2 linked regions of the Oryzias latipes genome follow. The protein of the gene in region 2 interacts with the protein of the main gene of each other region in a biochemical or structural test. Links are inferred from orthologs where the notes say so. Each region holds a gene or a part of one and is shown on either strand. Other genes may lie near its edges.

Region 1 (3,751 bases), on a different chromosome or scaffold from region 2:
CGAAAATCCCGGTTTGATCATCCAGAGAAAGCATATTTGTGGACATTTATGTTCACACATACTGTATATTTGAGTTTACCTCTAATGTAAGTTCATTAGAGCAGCATTATAACCAAACAGTGAACTGTAAACCACTGAGGTCAAAGGAGCAGGAATGGAGAAGACCTTCCTGTTCAGGTGATGTGGTCCTGGGATGACTGCAAGATGGGACAAATTCATAGAGAATGGAAAAAAAGTCCGGAATGGAGTGGGGAGAAGTGAGGAGTCCAGCAGTTGACTGATGTTTCTGACATGCGTGCAGTGCGAAGACTGACCAGCAGAGGGCAGAAGAGCGCCGCTGTGACCCGAGTAGGATCTGCACAGGTGTCTGCAGCTCCGGATCCTGCAGCCGTTTGCCTCTCTAGTCTTCCTTCAGGAGGATGTTCTGAGGATGACCTGCTTCACAGAAGCTCCCACTTACAGCTGTGGGTGTCGCGAGGGTCCTCTGCTGCCACAGCCATCTCTCACACAGGTGTGTGCAGCTATGTGGGCGGGACTCTCAGCGCACCTGGATTTCATCTCCACTCACAGCCCTGTTGCGTTGTAAAGCCACGCGTAAAGTTTGGCACAGACTTCTTTTTCTCAGACGCTCTTTTAGATTTAATCCCAAGGTCCTGCATTTGAATTCTCCCCCCTGTCCAGACCCGAAAACTGCGCGTTTCGGGTGCCCCTCCCTGCCCGTGTCTCCCCACTGCAGTCTGAAAGCGGAGCTGACACAAAGGGCCCTTTCTCAGCCCCGCTGGGAGCGCGGCTCTTAAAGGGCCAGAAGAGCCGCAGCCTCAGCAGACAGACACGCAGATCAGTCACCTCCACGCAGACATCAAAGCGCGCAGCAGCGCGGCGCAGATGCGCATCTGCAGACGCTTTTATTTAGACTGCAGCTGATAAAAGTCCAGATTGTTTTGGCTGAAAACCCACAGCGCCAGCGGCGCGTAAATGTCATAAATGAGAGTCTGAAGGGAAAAGTTTGAGGAAGCAGCAGAACTTCAGTTCAGCAGCTGATCTGACAGTTTTTTGGTTGTTGATGAAATCACCAGAGTCCTGAAAGAAACGCGTCTTTGCGCGTCATGAATGCGCGAACGAGGGGCCGCGCACAGACAGCCGGGGGTTCACAAGCTCTCAGAGAGAAGGAGGGAGACTGAAGAGGAGGAGGAGGAGAAGTGAGAGGGGAGGAGGGAAAGACTGAGTTGAGGAATTTCAATCCTGTTAGAAGGGGGAGAGGGGGAAGAAGTCAGGGGAGTGGAGAGGAACTTTGAACAACAACTTCGTGGATGTTTGCTGCGCTTTTTCTCAGGATCATCCAACAGGATTTGCGGGCTTTTAATTTTTTTTTTAGGTTTCAAGGTTTTCTCGGACCGTGTCGGTTCCACGCAGGTTCGGTTCTTGGCGCTGCTGAGATGCGGTGATGGGGTGTTTTTGCGCCACAACCGCTGTCCCCGCGCGCCTCCTCTCAGGTGATCCGCTCCCAGGAGCCATGGCGCGCAGCCTGGCTCTCCTCAGCCTTCTCCTGGCGTCCTGGGCGCCGGCGGCCGCGGCGCAGCTGTCAGGTAAGCCGCTCCTCAGCGGACATCCGGCCCAGAGGGAGGTGATTGGGTTTCCATGCGCAGGTTTCCACCTCAGCTCGTCTCCTCTTTCATGCAGATGTTTCTGTGACTGTCAGCACACTCTGTCATGTTAATATGTTCCTGGAAAAAGTTTTTCTGGAAAAACGACCCCTCCCTCCCCACCCATGTTTCCAGTTCACACTACATTAAATCCATCCTAATTCAGATTCCTGGTGATTTAGAAACTTCTTCATGTGATGAGTTTGAAAAAAATCCAATCCAGGATGTGTTCAGAAAGGTTCCTCACCTGTCAGGACGGGGGGACTAGCAGTCGAGCAGGGCAGTGATGGATGACCTGACGGGTGGAGGAGGCTGGAAAGTCTGCAGAGATGAATCTGCAGAATGGAATGAAGAGGGGCAAAGGTGCAGGCGTGAGCGGAGGGGAGGAATCCTGCAGAGAGGCAGGAGGATTTGTTGCTCAGACCCTGAGAGGAGGTTCGGCTGTTTCCATGCCAGGCGGATCCATCTCTCCCGAAGGCTGTCATGGTTCCATGTGGGACAGGAAGGAGGGAAGCGGAGCTGCTTTTGTCAAGCGCGGCGGAGAAACAAACCGAGTCAGGGGTCCGGTCTGAAAGGGCTCAGCCAGCCTCACAAAGACGTGGAAGACAAAGAGGCGGCCGGGCCTTTCAGCCGCTGCTCGCTCCCACGTTTGTTTATGAGCTGCATCAATGTGATCTGAGGATCGGGAGGGAAACTCAGGGGACTCATGGCTGTTTCCACAGCGACTGGGTGGAGGTCAAAGGTCGGCTCGAACAGACTCAACGCCCCGCCTGACAAGCTTGAGAAAATCTTCCCGAGTTGCATCCGAAGCCAAGAAAGCTTGAAGCTATTTTTGGCCTGCAGTCAGAGAAAACAGTTTACTCCTCCTGGAGTCTCTGGGATCCAGCAGAAGGATCCAGCAGATTGATTCTGCAGAAGGATCCAGTAGGAGGATCCAGCAGGAGGATCCAGCAGGAGGATCTAGCAGAATGATTCTGCAGAAGGATCCAGCAAGAGGATCCAGCAGGAGGATCTAGCAGGAGGATTCTGCAGGATTGGATGTTCATCATCAGTTTGTGCCCCCCAGCTCCCTAACAAGAGGCCTTTGTGGCGGAGCAGCGCCGACCTTCCTGCTCAGCCTCGCTATCAGCGAGAGGAACAAGATAGGCCGACTCGTTTCAAAGTCATCCAGGGGGGAGATAAACTGTGTTTCACCTGCTCTTATCGCCGCAGGGCTGCTCAGTGCCAACAAACATGAAGCAGACGCACAAACGAAGCAGGCAGAGCTGTCCCATAACTCAGCATTCTGCATGTTTCACTGACAACATAAAGATCCTGACACTTTATTTACATCAGACTTTAAAAATCCCATTCATTCCTTGGATCCATATTCACATTGAAATAGCTGAATCAATCAATCAGACTTTCCTTTTCTTTTTAAGTAAATTTTTTTACATTCTTTAGCCAAAAAACTGCTTTTCTGTTAGTTTTTATTAAAATAGTTTCTAATTTCAGTAAAGAAATTTACTTATTCATTTATTTTATGACTTAATTATCTGTACTGGGCCTTTTCAAATCATCATTTTCTATCAGCTTTTGAATCTGTTGTGTTTTATGACTTTTATCATGTAGAGGACCTTGTGGGCCATGCAGGTTGATGAAGGTTGCTCCTCAAATAAAGTGATGGATTGATGAAGAAAAATTCCACTTCAGTTTAAAAACACAACAACAGTTATTTTATATTCAAAGAAAGTTGCTTTTCAATGAAAGTTGAACCCGTAGGTTATCATCTTAAAGGCATTCTTGAAGGTGTTTATATTTGAGAAGTGAAACGTCTCCCAGAAAAGACAGAAGTCCGGTTCCCTTAGAGCGGAAAACACGCCTCGGTTGGACGACTGAGATCCTCCACAAACATGCAGGTCGACTTGTTTGAATCTGAAATCCAAAAGAATTGTGGGTACCAACATTCAGCTCGGTTAAGGAATGATGACCAACCGTTACGTTGGCATGATTTATGGCAAATCCAGGCTTGTTTTTGACTGAGTCTGAACCACAAATGTATTTTTCCCATGATGTCTTAAGTTTGCACCTAAAGCTCTTTGCTCAATCAAACCTTAAAGACCCACTCC
Region 2 (3,093 bases):
TACACCCCGAACAGGTCGCCAGTCTGTTGCAGGGTCACACATTAAAACGCCAAAAGACAGCCCCCCCCCCCCCCCAAATAAGTCAAAAATACTCAAAATAAAAGTTCTTTAAATGAAAAGAAACATTCTCCCAATGGGGCAGTGGTGGAGCTCCCAGATTTTATTAAGCTATTTTAAAGTTAGCTTTATCATTGAATGTTCCTAAAATCTAAATTTCCTCTCGCCATAGCATGGAAACAGCATTTGAGGGCCTCAAGATTTCGTCTAGAGCCCCATGGGCCCTGCCCTGCGACAGGCTGGCGACCTGTCCCAGGTGTTTCCCTCCTTCGCTCAACAGGAGCCGGGACGGTCTGAGGCAACCCCGCGGGTTAAGAAAACCCATGCAAACTGGCTACCTGTGCAGAGGGAAATGTCATAGTGAAAGGAAACAGGTCTTTGCTCCTGGGGGGCAAGGCTTTTTGCTGGGAGGGCAGCTGGCCCCCCACCCCTTCGCCCTCACACATGCACACCTATTCAGTCATCAATGAACCTGTGAAGCCCGTTTTTGGACTGTGGGAGAAAAAAAATCAGGAGACCTCAGCACAAGTTTAATAATTGCTTTTAATTCATTGAAAAAAAAAAACAAGAATGCAAATAAAAAACAAAACATTATCATTAGATAAGACAAGGCGAGTTCCATGTTGGTGAGACCTAAGGTGAAGCGGGTCCATGTAGGAGGAGTAAAACAGGGCAGGGGGGGCACCGAGGGGCGCTTTTCTCTATTTTATATTATTTACATCATTTCTGGCTGCAGGACTGGCAGGCCCCAAAAAGGGGCTTCAGGGGGCTGGGAGGGGGGGCTCAAAGTAGCAGGTCAGAGACACTAAAACACCAGAGAGAAAGGCACTATCCAGAGAGAAAAAGAAACACAAACACAGTAAACAAACACACATTTGGACCAGAACAAAACTTAGGCTTGACAAAAAAACAAAACAAAAAAATAAAATAAAAAGTGCTTGACCACACACCACGATGGAAAAAAAAAACAGAAAAAAAGACTAGGAACAAAAAAACATCTTTACATCATCTCAGCTCGTCTTTCAAATGTTAGCAAAAAAAAATAGGAAAACAGACAATCTCACAGTTCTCCAAACTCTGAATCTGTGCCAGCTGCAGGTTTTCACTGGTGATTAGTCAGCGTGGTTAGCCGAACTCCACCCCTTTGCTTGGTGCGCGTACAAGGTGGAGAGCGTCTGCTGATGCATGCAAGTAATGAATGTGTTTGAAAAGGAGTCTACCTGTACAAGTCCTCTGTCAGCGCTCACTACAAATGACCACATTTCAGCATGACTTCAAATCCCTTGCGTGGTTGTGTGGTTCTGACTGCGTTTCCCTCATGTTCGTCTACAGATTCAGTCAGCTACATTCACGGCCCGAGTCGATCGGCTGCAATAAATAAATCGGCTTTCAAAACCTAAGCGGTCCTCAGAGGGTCCGTTTGATTCTGCAGCGGTCCTCTTGCTGGTCGACATTAGATTCTTGAAAGAACTGACTGTAGTTGCGTTACAGACCAGAGAAACCTCGTCCGAATGGAACTTTTTGGCGCCTCGGATGTCGTGCGGTTTGATCTGGAAAAACCTCCGATAGATTCAGACAAAAAAAAAAAAAAGACAACTCATCACATTCTAGAGCTACAAGGTCTTAACCCTGACTAACAGAAGATTGAACATAATTTACAAATGGAAAATAATTTGTGATGAGAGGTAAAACAAACAAACATACAAATATATAATATATTTTCTTAAAAAATGGATTCTCTCTATACTTGATTCATTTATGCAGCCAACGGCTGAAGTACAATGCTCACATACCAATGGTCTTTAACATGGAAACCTACTGTTTTGTTGACATCAGTTTTCTTTTTGTACATTTTTAAAACAATTTCTTTTTTTTCCGTTTTTTTCAATATTTTTCTCCTTTAAAACAAGAGAGGATTTATTGAAGGGAATTCATTAAAGTGATTAAAACATGCTGCAAAGGAAGAAGAAGGAGTGAAAGGCAGAATGTTAGGAGGCGGAGACATGTTCCGTTCTCCTCGCTGCTTTAGGCTTCTCTGCGTTAAGACTGCCCTCAAACACAGCCCCCCCCAGGCGTTCCACGGGGGGCGGGGACATTCTCGGCACCAATGAGAGTCGACTTTGCTCAGCTGTCACCCGCAAAGTGACGCCTACTACAGCAGTGCTCGTGTTCTCTTTCAGTTGTTTGCTGTTTCTGTGGGGACGGGGGGTGGGTGGTGGGTGGGGGCCGGACCGGGGCTGGAGGCGGGGGTGATGAGATCAAAAAACAATGATGACGGAAATGGTTGCGGCTGAACGCGGCTGGCTGCTTCACATGTTCCGGCTGACAGGCGTGACGTAGTTGCGCGGGAACATGCCCGTCTGGCCGTGGCAGCCTCCTTTCCACCAGTTGGGGTCCGAGTTGTCCAGGACTTGAATGAAGTCGCCGCGCCTGAAGCCCAGCTCGCCTTCCTCCTGCGGGTCGAAGTCGAAGAGCGCTTGTACGTACGTGGGATGCTGCTGAGACCAGAGGAGGAAGAAAGATCTCCATTTTAGAAATGTTCATATTCAATGTTCCCATTAAAGCAAAGTCAAACAGAACGTCCATCTTCATCTCACTAAGCCCCTCCCTCCTCCGTCTTCCTCTCTGCTGCTGTTCTCTAGATCAGGGGGCTCCAACCTTTTTCAGGTAGCGGACCGGTTCAATGTCAAACAATGTTTTCAAGGACCGGTCCAAAGGGGGCCAAAGTTTGCATTTCATATGTTTAAGCTTCCGGTTTCTGAATCTAAATCTAAAATATTTGTGTTTTTACTTTTACAGGTGATGACGGTTCAATGAAACCAAGTTGCTGATTTGTAGAATGATTGAATAAAAACGTCATTAACACAGAGAATTCAACCCAGGCTCTGATCATCTTTCAGGACCAAAAGATTTTTCATATTTCATTTCTACATAAATCCTGATTGATCGTGTTTTTTTTGTAACACAGAGGAACATTTTCTGTGCCGAGTTTCTTAACACATGCCAGCGTAATTCATCCATGCTGTAGGAAAATTC

What was found. The genes of interacting proteins can lie anywhere in the genome.
Region 1: the proteins of grb2 (region 2) and axl form a complex in vitro, tested with the Homo sapiens proteins (2 studies listed by BioGRID, with this or other methods). The link is inferred for Oryzias latipes from reciprocal best matches to the Homo sapiens genes GRB2 and AXL.

What each region holds. Positions count from the first base shown.
Region 1 is NC_019871.2:3,220,757-3,224,507, reverse strand, and holds the start of axl (tyrosine-protein kinase receptor UFO), read left to right. Parts: upstream 1-1,146; 5' UTR 1,147-1,444; coding exon 1,445-1,586; intron 1,587-3,751. UniProt on the Homo sapiens protein: Receptor tyrosine kinase that transduces signals from the extracellular matrix into the cytoplasm by binding growth factor GAS6 and which is thus regulating many physiological processes including cell survival, cell proliferation, migration and differentiation.
Region 2 is NC_019866.2:20,732,343-20,735,435, forward strand, and holds the end of grb2 (growth factor receptor-bound protein 2), read right to left. Parts: intron 2,556-3,093; coding exon 2,367-2,555; 3' UTR 582-2,366; downstream 1-581. UniProt on the Homo sapiens protein: Non-enzymatic adapter protein that plays a pivotal role in precisely regulated signaling cascades from cell surface receptors to cellular responses, including signaling transduction and gene expression.